3 linked regions of the Mus musculus genome follow. The protein of the gene in region 1 purifies or fractionates together with the protein of each later gene. This does not show direct contact. Links are inferred from orthologs where the notes say so. Each region holds a gene or a part of one and is shown on either strand. Other genes may lie near its edges.

Region 1 (4,124 bases):
CGCATTTCCAGAGACAACACAACCGGAGGTAGGGATAGCTTTCTGTGACACTCTCTTTTCACTCACTCACTCCATCAGAACTAGGGTGAGCTAAATCCCACCCTCCACTACCACACTGAAATTGTCTTTTTTTGCTGTTTTGTTTTGGTCTTTTGTGAATCTCTACCTCCACCCCTATTCTGGGGACCCAGGACTTTGTGTCTGTTCTACCACTGAGCTAAATTCTCAACCCCACATTTTAAAGACTGCAGCAAAGTCACAGGCAAGCAGGACAGACTTTTTTCTTTTTGCCTGACATAGATGTTGGAAAAGGAAGGTCGTGGACTTGGTGAGATAGGCCCTGATTTTCACTTCATTCTTTAAGGGGGACTCTCCTGACCCCAGAAGGATAAAAACAAGTCTTCCAGACGGCAGCCCTCACCTTTCATGGCCACACAGAGGATCCAGTCAACAAGATACTGTGTGTCTTACCATGAGGTCTTCGTCTCGGTCTGGGGACAGCACCAGAGGGATGATGACCTGGTTTCGGAACAGTGGCGTCTTCTCATGCTTTAAGACCTTGTTCAGAGTGTTCAACTGTCCAGAAAGCAATGCAAAGCTGTCCAGGACAGAGGGCCTGGAGGTGGCGAGAAGTCACCAGAGTTACTTCTCCCTACAAAGTAACCTCTAAAAGTCCTAATGCTGCAACACTCAGACTCACCCCGAAGACTCGCAGCCCTGTGTCTGGCATAGGCAAGAACCAGATTTGCTAGTAGAGATGGAATTGGGAAAGAGGAACACACTTTCAATTTTTGACATAGATACAGAAAAAAGGCAACCCACTGTTTGACTGGGTTTGGGAGCAGTGGAAACAGGGGCTGTGGTTACACTGTAGTAAGTCTGTAAAGCCTCCTCCCTAATGTAGTAACAGACTCTATCATTCCAGAAGGCTGGATCTCAGATCCAGCCTCATGTGTGGAAGGAGAGCCACCATAAATGGAGCTATAATGGTCTTCCACTGAGGAAATGCCTCCTCACTAAGGAAGCCAAAGCGTAAGAATTAAAACCTAGAAACAGCCTAGGTTGGGAAACTGGACATTTTTCTACTTCCTTGCCATGGAGGCTTTAAGCCAAACTAAACTTGTCAATGTTGGGCAACCTAGTTCTTTCCAAATCAAAAAGGATATTTGCAAGTTGATAAATGGGTACATCGCTGGAGATGTCCTGTCAGCCAGGGGGCTTGGCCCCACCACCCATGGATCCCTCCCCAGCTTGTCCTGGCAATCCTTACCAGGTCAGCCGGTCATACTCGTTTTCCAACTTGTAAATGAAACTCCCCAGTGAATTCTTCAGATCGGCCACTTGATTCAGCAGGGCATCTAATGATGCCTCAAGCTGCTTCTCCTCCCTCTGCATCAACAGTGTGTTTGGTTACTCAGATACAAGTGAGCGTGACACATTCAGAAAAGCTAAATTGTTTTCTATCTTGGTATTTGGGTTACAGATAGCATCAACCCTTAGACCTTTCAACCTGTTCACCTGGCCTGAAGTCCTCCTACTAACTGATTCCTCTATAACCCTCCTACACTGTGGTCCTTCAAGAAGGTCATTGCACCAGACCTAATTCTCTTTGGCTTGAAACCTCATGATTTGTCTTTGTAACAAAACTGGCTTCGAACTCACTTAGCCTTGCACCTTTTTAATTCCATGCTCTCCTCCTCCCAGCTCTCAAACACTGCCTCTCCCAGTAGACAACATTCTCTTAGATTTGCAGTAGGGTTAATAGGAACGTGCTCAGGTTTCTGCACACTCTTCTTTGTCAGTTCCTCTTCTGGAAAATAGATGTGGCCTGCCTACCTCACGACTGCTTATTGTCACTGCGCTGCTTTCCTTGGGTGGATGAGAATCCCTCGTGTCACTCTGTGGTGTTGGCATTGACACAGTTTTGTTTTGTTTTTTTCAGGAAGTTCAGTTCACCTCAGAAAGGTTTGCCATGATAACAGGGGTGCTATCTGCACACACAGCCTAAATAATTCCCGAAGTTCATTATATCATGGGTGCCTCTGGTCATCCTCTTGTGAGTGTAGCTACTGTCAACCACACAATCTGGACAATCTCACACGTTGCCTCTCTGTAAGGTTTTCTCTGAATACCAGCTCTGCAATCCCCTTCCCGGTCCCCCAACTGGCCGTTTATCCATAGCATTTGGTGCTTTGGAAAGTCAACGTGCATCTTTGTGCCAATATTCCCGTGTCTCTTTCATAATTCGGGTGACCCATAAACAGTGTAGGTTTATCAGATGCAACAAGCCAAGTGAGTAATGAAAGAGTAATGAAAGACAAAGGCGAGGAAACCTGCACATTGTTTCTGAGTGTTAGACAATTTTAAACGCTGAGGCGGCAGAGGGTTTCCGTTTGACTATCTGAGGACTATTTACCCCACTTCTCCGCCCTTAGCAACGAGGTACAAGCCGGGAAGAATGATGCAAAGCTGATTTGCAAACCTGACTATGTGACTGAGGGGGTTGGACACCGGGTTCCACCCACAGCCTCGAATTACAAACAGCTTAGTTTTCATCCTTGGAGGCCCACGATCCCTTTAGCCTTCTGAAGCCTTATGACGCCTGTGTCCAACAGCCTAGATCGAGGCGTGCGGCAGCCCACTACTTTCCCGAGCCTTCCCAAATGCCACCACGATCCTTTTCCACGCTCAATCAAGTCCGCCTTTCCTCCCCGGGCCTCCGACCTTCTCACATCAGCGGGCTCGATGCCCGCGCCTCCCGCAGCTGGCCTCGCTCTCTCTGGCTCCGCTGCCTTTCCTCTGCCCTCCGCTCACAGCCCCAACTCCCCGGTGTCCTCAGCCCAATCACCCTCCCGCCAGCGGCTATAAGGCCCAACCCGCTTCTCACCTGCATTGCCGCGGCCCGGCGGGCGCAACCACTTCCCTTTCCGGTTTCTCGCACGGCTTGCTGCGCTCACCAATCAGAAAACTCAAAACGGGACCATCCCAACAACTTCCGGTTCCTGCCCGGTACAGAACTAGCCGGGTCAGAGGTCAGGAGTGGAGCAACCTCCCTGGCCCGGGCCGGCGCGGGAGGGCTGTGTGATGGCCTCGGAGCGCCCCGAGCCAGAGGTGAGGGATGGGCGGGCGCGGGGCCGAGGCCCGAGGGCGGGCGTGTGGCAGCCTTCACCCTCCGGAGCCTCAAGGAGGCCGTTGCTGTTTTGTTTACTCAGATGCCATCCTGATCTTCGTCGCCCATCCACAGACTTGTTAGCGATAGTGATGCTGATAAAAACTCGTGTTTTGGTTATTAGTTGGGATTTTCATTGTGCCACGCCGAAGCTGACCGACTTTGCGGGGTTTTTTGTATCTCATCTATTGGAATGCAATCAATAGCATGAGTTGATTTCGCTCTAGCGTTCGTGCTCTTGGCAAAGCCCTACAACCCTCTGGCCAGTCTTAACTTAGGACAGACCCTGCTTCCTTCTTTATAAAAGTATTTGTTCTGTGATGTGGCTTGGGGATCACAAGTTAAGGCAGAAAAGGCAGACGAGGCACCCGCCCCCCCACCCCACCCCCCACCCCCTAGATGCAAAGAACCCTATATGTATGTTTTGACATTCAGACTCCAGCAGGGAATCTGGCAGTATTTATTGTCATGTACAGAGCAGACAACTGAAGTCAGAGCAGGTGAGGTGTCATGCCATGCAAAGATACCTTAGGACTACTCCTTCCAACTGAACGAGCGGATCCGAGGAGGTACCAAATTTGGCTAGCGTGTCCAGGACCCCAGAGGGATAGCCTTGTAGGAGGGAAGGTTGATGCATGTGCGTAACGATACAAATAGCAATGGCTACTTGTCGAATTCTTACTGTATGCCAGCCACAATTCTGAGCTCTTTACTGTTACCAGTTCTTTCAACCCTATAAGGCAAACACCATTATCATCCCTCTTTTCAGGAAACTGAGGTGCCACTATTAAAAGAAGCATAGTTGTGCAGCTAGTATTGGGGCTAGAACTCCCAGGTAGGTGAGCTCGCTCTACAGCTACAAGTTGTCCTCTGACCTGCACACGTGCACTCTGACACGGGTGTGATCTTATATATGTATAATGTATGAGTACACACACCCGTGTATGGGGAGGAT
Region 2 (4,302 bases), on another chromosome or scaffold:
GTAGATTTTAGACATAGACTTGGTGTCAAGGAAGCTCTGTGGCTTTGTGATCCTGGGGCTGCTATTATAGCCCTGTAAACTTTTGTTTCTTTTTCTATAAAATGGAAAACTAAGATATACCTTCCAGAGTTTCTCGGTGGATTAAATGAGGGTTTTAATGGTTTCTCGTCACTTTCATTCCACAGTAGTAGTGATAGCTACTGTTTGCTAACACTGCCGTTTTACCATGCATTCTCCCAGATGTCTCCAGAGGTGTCTTCAAGTCTTTTCTGGCACACCTGGTTCCATCTTAGACCATTCTCTTCTCCCTTCTTCCTCAGGAATCATGGCCCTTCCCCTAAGGTGGAGAGGTCCTGGGTTAGAAGGAAATCCTACAGTTTCCTGCAGTGAGAAATGTTCTTCTAATCAGACACTTAGTTCCACAGGGGCCTGTATTCCCTAACTCCACTCCCCCCACCCACCTTTCCCTTTGGGTGATTAGCCCATTGAGTCATATTGAGAAGTTGTGTTCCCACTAATGGGATGAAATGCACCTAAGCCTGAGATGGAAGAAAGTGGCCATTTTGTTGAGTGTTTCTGCTATCTTATCTTGAGTTCTGGTGCACTCATTTTCAAGAAATAAATAAATCACCTTGTTTCACTTTGTTTCTGTCTTCTTTTGAGCAACACTGAGATTATTCTTTTCCTGACAGTGCCTCTGTTTAGAGAACTATCTGCAGCTCTGAAGAAAACAATTCTGAGACCTGTAGCTAAAAAACCTGAAAACACCATTGTGAAGTTCCACGTTCCTGCTTCTTTTTGTTTCTGAGATGTGGGCTCCTGGCCTCTCTTTACTGACATGGTTCCTGTCATCAAAGACAGATGTCCTCTCCCAGTTGACAGCTTCCCTAATCCCTGATTTTTGTTAGTCAGAATCAGAATTACTGCTACCCTTGTCCAGAAAATTTTTAATGGAGCCCATTTGCTTGAAATGAATAAATACAAGCCTATCGTAAAGTTCTCCTATTTGGTCCAAGATCTTAGTCTTATATACGTATGTAGTCTGGCACCTGCTAGATGCATACCAAATGCTTGAAGAACGATTAGTTTTCCCCTTGGCAGCCGTGTGGAACTAGTTTGTATGGCCTGTTTTGCTGTCGCCAGTCTGGGGCCCTCCTGGAGGCTAGCATGACACAAAGACGTGTAAGTCCTTGTCATCTGGATGCTCGCTGCCGCAGAGCCTCAGTTTCACACGGTGCTCACCAGCGTCATCCGTTCTTCCTGCCAGTCCCGGGGGTCCTCGTTGGTGTTTTGACCTCTCTCTGTCATGTGAACTAGAAAGATGACTGGAGTAGATTCCCTAATCCTGACTACTCAATTTAGCTTTCCCGACACCCGTCGCCTAGCAACGCCCGCCCGCCTACGCCCAGGGCGCAGACTCAGAGTTTTTTCCCGCCCGGCCTCCCCGGGCGCGCAGTTGTGACGCAAGCACCCAGCGCCCCTCGGCAGCTGCTGGACTCCTGGTGCTATGGCTTCCTCTGGGGTGGCGGGTGGGAGACAGGCCGAAGATACGCTACAGCCACCGCCCGAGCTGCTGCCGGAGTCCAAGCCGCCACCACCGCCTCAGCCTCTGCCGGTCGCTGCGCTCCCGCCGCCGGCGGCTCCGCGGCCTCAGTCCCCCGCTGGCGCGAAGGAGGAGAATTACTCCTTTTTGCCGTTGGTTCACAATGTCATCAAATGGTAAGGGTCTAGGAAAGGTTAAGACACCACTTTTTGCGACTCTAGTGTCCCTGGTTCCGAGCTGCCAAAGCCCGTGGGCTCTGGACCACGCCCCATTTTCCCAGAGGGCCCACGTTGTCAGGCGCCTTAAGAGTTACACTTTACTCCCGGGTGAAGCCCACGTACTGATCAAATGCATAGATAGGTTCTGCAGTGTCCCATCCCAGATCCTGCAGTGACTTGGGGATGGGTCTTAAGTCCTTACACATAGCCCGAAGGCAATTTTATACAGTTGTTTTAATTCGCCTGCGTTTTGACTGTTCGCATGAAGCCCAGAGCGGAATTTCTCACTTGTGGCATTATATGAGCCCCGAAAAGTGTTCGAATTTTGGTGGACCTCAGACGTTCAGACTCGAGATTCTCACCGTGTACACAGTTTAGTACCCATTTCAATGCGAGGCATCTTACCTGTGTGGGCTCTGTTAGGTACTAGGGTTGTACACCGTAAAGAAAGGAGCAGCCATTTACCCTTACAGGGCTTAACGGTTACAAGCAAAGAAAAACAAACAAACATTCTTAAAAGTGGAGAGATGGCGCACACCTTTAATCCCAGCACTTGGGAGGCAGAGGCAGGCGGATTTCTGAGTTCGAGGCCAGCCTGGTTTACAGAGTGAGTTCCAGGACAGCCAGGGCTATCCAGAGAAACCCTGTCTCCAAACAAACAAGTGGAGAGGGGAGAAGTGATGCTAGGAAACATTTGAAACGAAGACACAGAAGTTGCTCTGAATGATTGTGTCCCACTATTAACTTTATTCTAATAATTCTAATAGAATATACAAGGATGTATGGTCTTTTAGGCCCAAAGTCTCCAGTCTCCATGATGGCCTATGTTTTTGCTCACTCCATATACGCTTGGGTCATTTCCAAGAGGTACACTTTTTGGTGCAAGCATTCTCAAGTGTGCTTTGATAAACTTAGGTGACGCGGAACAGTTACTGCCTGGTGCCTCTTTGTGCAGTCAGGATTCTTAGCAACACTGGGAGTTGGACAGGTTGGTGGGTAAGAGCACTCGCGGTACAAACGGCACAAGGATCTGAGTTCCAATCCTCAGCGTCCACATAAAAAGCCAGTCATGGCTGCTCGTGCCTGGAGCCCCAGCGTCCCAGCGCTACAGACAGATCTCAAGAGCTCTGGCCAGGCTGCCTGGCTGACACTGTTAACTTCCTATTTAATATGAGACCCTGTCTCTAGGCAACAAGGCGAAGCGCTACAGTATAATACATCCATAAACTAGTGACATCATTATTTATTATCATTATCAAGCATTAAGAACTACCTGTAATTGTATAGGTAATACTTTTTATCCATCAGGCAGTATACTTTTTTTTTTTTCACACTCTTGTGAGTGGCGCATTCTGCTGCAACATTACCACAACTACTTTGTCATTAGGCAAAGGAAGGTTTTGGTTACATTATAAGCATTAGACAGTTACTGAATATATGATCTGGCATTAATCAGGTTATTTAGCACATACCTGTATAGCCACAGGACACTAGGTGCAAACCTCTGAATTTCTTCTAAACCATTAGATACTAAAAGTAAATTAAGACAAGATTACAGTTCCGGTCACATTTAGGAACATTGGCAAGCCCTCTTGCTGGAGCTGAGGCAGTCTGGGTTTCTTGCTCTGGTGGTTTGGTGTTTGTCTTAGGACTGCTACTGCTGTGCTGAAACACTGACCAAAAGCAAACTGTGGAGGAAAGGGTTTATCTGACTTACACTTCTGTATCACTTTTCCTCACTGGAGGAAGTCGGCAGCAACCTGCAGGCAGAGGCTGATGTAGAGGCCATGGAGGAGTGCTTTCTTGCTCAGTGCGCTCTCTCTTCCTTTTTTATTGTGTTTGTTTCTCCTTGTATTCCTGGCTGTTCTGGAACTATTTTTAAGCCAGGTTGGCCTCAAATTCAGAAATCTGCTTGCGTCTACACCCCTACGTACTGGGATTAATGTCATGAGCCACCACTGCCCAACTTCAGCGTGCTTTCTTACTCTAGTAAGACCACCAGCCCAGGGTGACTCCCCACAGTGGGTGGGGCCTCCTCACTGTAATCACTAGTTAGGATGCTCTTCAGGCTCGCCTACAGCATGCTTCTGTGGGAGCATTTTTCCAACTGAGTTTCCTTCCTCTCTGCTGACTCTGTGTTAAGTTGACATAAAAGTGGGATAGCACAGCGCTCATCTGCCGCTTTTCAAATGACTGCAAAACCTTGGTTCTCACGTTCACTCCTCTCTTGGCTTCAGACAACGTGAACCTCCCGTATGCAGGGTAAGGCAGACTGTCCCCTCTGTGTTAGCTGTTGGCAAATACATTATGAGATGGAAGTGAGGAAAATAAAAACCATCTCAGGGCAGTGCTGGAGTACTGGTTTATTCAGAGTAACTTGCAAACATTAAAAACATGGGAAATCAGAACACAGATGTATACACATTCACCTATACCTCAGGAAGGATCCTCCTGACCCGGAAGAGCAGTTGGGTTGGGCCAGCCTCAGTGACAGGAACACGATGTGAAGTCAGAGGGTCTGAGGTCAACTCTCTGCTGAAG
Region 3 (3,209 bases), on another chromosome or scaffold:
AGGCACACATGTTTAAGCTGACTTACCAACTTCATTTTATAGATGAGAAACACTGAAGCTGTGTTTTGCTTCACTTTGCACGAATGCGTGTGGAAACCGGAGGTGATGTTGATTCCTCTCCACTTGACACAGAAGCAAGGCCTCTCAATTGACCCTAGAGCTCACTTGACTAGAATCCTGTCTTTGCCTTTGAAATGACTGGACCAAAGGGGTACAGATGGGCCACCAAGCCTCCAAGCACTTACACGGGTGCTTGAGTCTGAATCCTCCTGGTGAAGGGACTTTACCTGCTGCACTATCTCCCAACCCCAGCAGATGTGCTGTAAATGCCACAGGTCTCAAGTTACTGGACTTTCTACTCCAAGTCTGTCCCAAGAGCTGATCCCTTTCTAGTCTCCATGTCTGTAGACTTCCATACCTATAGCATCCCATGCCTGTGTCTTTCCAGGAACACAAACGCTACTGTAGTCCACACTTTACAACAGATCGTTTAGAAACCCCACAACAGCAGGTCAGTAGAAGCCACTTGCAGTACCTGATAGTCGGAGGTCATGATGAGTCCACCTGAGGTAGTGGTAGGAGGGACAACTCTCACTTTTTTCAAGGGGGGCCCCTGTGCGTGGCCGCTGTCCTGGTTCCCCGGATGGCCAGTTCCGTTAGTGTGGTTGTTGCCCTGCTGCTGCTGCTGGGTCTTCTCAATTGGTTAAACAGAAAACACAGTTCAACTCAGGAGGAGAACAGAAACTGGCTGCGTGCCAGAGGCCCGGAGGCCATGCAGAAGGCACTTCCAACTGTACTTTAATACTTACTTTGTCTCCTTTCTCATCAGGCTCTTCTTCTGTTAAAAATTCTCGTTTGGGATATGGGATCTGACAACCGGCGAAAACACTAGTCACAAGAGAAAAAGAAGAGAGCTGTCTCACTGGCTGCCTGGTATTTCCAATGCTTCATCTAGGTGACTCGCTGTCACTCTCTAAGAAGACGGGACTGTGTTTCCATAGTTACAGAGATATAAGCATCTTTCATGCGAGTCTGATGCAAAAAAATCCTTTAACCAATGACACTGCAGCAGGCAGTCTGAAGGTCCTTCTCTGCGTAACCTCATCAATAATCACCAACTAGGACAGCTCTCTCATCCACTACCACAGCTCGCAGTGTTTCATCTGCCCTTCCACGGTTAAAACAAAAGATGATAAAGAGAAGGCAGATTTATTTAGAACTGCTACTCCAGAATATCAGAACCCTTGACTGCAGGCAGCCCCACAAAATCCTAGCAAGTAGAAGGAGCCATAGCACAGTGAACGCATCACTGAGTAAGAGGCATCCATTTCAGCAATGCCTCTTAACCACAAAACCAAAACTGGCATTAGAGCAGAGACGCTCAGTTTCTTCAGGTCCCTCAGAGGCGTGGCAACTTAGTGTGACAAGAGAAGGAAGCACACTTAAAGATGCCAGTCACAGGAAGCCAGCAGATCTGCCACTTACTCTGACGTGGGAAGTGGGTCTTCTAGGAAGTAGGGGTCCTGCATGGCCTGCTCTGAGGTAATTCGCTTTATTGGGTCCATAGTGAGCAACTTCTGAAGCTGAAATCACAAGTCATATATCAGAGCATGCTCCCACAGAAACGTCGGTGTCTACGCCAAACCCTGACTCACAATTTATCCATTGAGGGTACTGGGCAGGTCAGTTTACCTTTTTATAACTGTATCTCTCCAGATGGAAAATAAAAACATCACCAATTACTACAGCTTGTTTTCAGTATTAAATGAATTGTGATGGTTCTTTAGAAAGAATCCTAAGTGTGAGTATTGTAGCTACACTTAGCTCATCCCTGTCACATCCAGAGATGCTATACTAGTGCGAAAATGCAGCACCATCTGCAATGTTTGTTTCTCCCCACCCCACCTCTCCCCCTCCCCCCTCCAAGACAGGGTTTCTCTGTATATCAGCCCTGACTCTCCTGGAACTCAGAGACCTATCTGCCTCCCACCCAAGTGCTGGGATTAAGGGTGTGTACCACCACTGCTCTCTAGGAATGTTTATTTCTAATGTGATATAAGAGACACCTGAACAATGGCCTCCTGCTCTGATCTGCAGACTTCAGAGTGCAGCACAATTGTTGCAAGGCTGAGAGCTGAGGCCTGATCCCACAGCCTGACAGATAGAGAGCTGAGCCCTGTGCCCAGAGTCAGATAGAGTGGTGTGTGTATGTGAGAGAGAGAGAGAGAAAGAGAGAAAGAGAGAGAGAAACAGAGATGTGAACAGGAATCTAAGAACTTGCATTTCCAACAAGTTCCCAGTTGGGGTCTGTGTTGCTGGACTGGGATTGGTTTGAAAAGTAATAAACTAATAAACAAAGATTTAAGGAATGATGACTCATAGAGGATAAGAGGCCTTACAAATATCTTTAAAATGCAGAGATAGTAGGACTCATTTAAGATACCAACTTTCACTTGGCCTGAAAGTAAAGTACATGTGAGGTCCTGTGGTTAAAGTCCAGAATTAAAGAAACTATTTTTATTTTTTAAAAGATTTATTTATTATATAAAGTACACTGTAGCTGTCTTCAGACGCACCAGAAGAGGGCATCAGATGTCATTACAGATGGTTGTGAGCCACCATGTGGTTGCTGGGATTTGAATTCTGGGATGAGCAGTCAGTGCTTAACTGCCGAGCCATCTCTCCAGCCCTAAACTATTTTTAAAAATCAACAAATAAGCTACAAGGATGGTGTCATGGTGTATGCTTGGCCCAGGGAGTGGCCCTATTTGGAGGTATGGCCCTGTTGGAGTGGGTGTGTCACTGTAGGTGTGGGCTTTAAGACCCTCATCCTAGCTGCCTGGAAGTGAGTCTTCTGCTAGCAGCCTTCAGGTGAAGAGGAAGAACTCTCAGCTCCTCCTGCATCATGCCTGCCTGGATGCTGTCATGTTCCTGCCTTGATGACAATGGACTGAACCTATAAGCCAGCCCCAATTAACTGTTGTCCTTATTAGCGTTGCCTTGGTCATGGCATCTGTTCACAGCAGTGAAACCCTGAAATGGTCTCTCGGGTTCTGCTGCTCTCAGACTGCAAGGAAGGCACGAGCTGAGGGATACACCTGGCAATCCCAATAATGCCTTTTGACCAGTATTTTGTTAGGATCAATAAGTCTTAGATCATGAAGGATACAACTTTATTTCCCAATTTGAGCCCTGTTGCAAAAACATTT

Evidence for each region.
Region 2: the proteins of Med8 (region 1) and Med9 purify together in Homo sapiens (affinity purification with mass spectrometry; 5 studies listed by BioGRID and IntAct, with this or other methods). This does not show direct contact. The link is inferred for Mus musculus from reciprocal best matches to the Homo sapiens genes MED8 and MED9.
Region 3: the proteins of Med8 (region 1) and Cdk8 purify together in Homo sapiens (affinity purification with mass spectrometry; 7 studies listed by BioGRID and IntAct, counting the BioPlex papers as one, with this or other methods). This does not show direct contact. The link is inferred for Mus musculus from reciprocal best matches to the Homo sapiens genes MED8 and CDK8.

Annotation. Positions count from the first base shown.
Region 1 is NC_000070.6:118,408,150-118,412,273, reverse strand, and holds the start of Med8 (mediator of RNA polymerase II transcription subunit 8), read right to left. Parts: upstream 2,938-4,124; 5' UTR 2,894-2,937; coding exon 2,888-2,893; exon of another isoform or gene 2,725-2,887; intron 1,390-2,724; coding exon 1,271-1,389; intron 749-1,270; coding exon of another isoform or gene 701-748; intron 617-700; coding exon 472-616; intron 1-471. Other genes in the region: KICSTOR complex protein SZT2, read left to right, coding at 3,085-3,111. UniProt on the Homo sapiens protein: Component of the Mediator complex, a coactivator involved in the regulated transcription of nearly all RNA polymerase II-dependent genes.
Region 2 is NC_000077.6:59,946,760-59,951,061, forward strand, and holds the start of Med9 (mediator of RNA polymerase II transcription subunit 9), read left to right. Parts: upstream 1-1,454; 5' UTR 1,455-1,507; coding exon 1,508-1,719; intron 1,720-4,302.
Region 3 is NC_000071.6:146,297,177-146,300,385, reverse strand, and holds part of Cdk8 (cyclin-dependent kinase 8), read right to left. Parts: intron 1,584-3,209; coding exon 1,486-1,583; intron 889-1,485; coding exon 810-888; intron 695-809; coding exon 536-694; intron 1-535.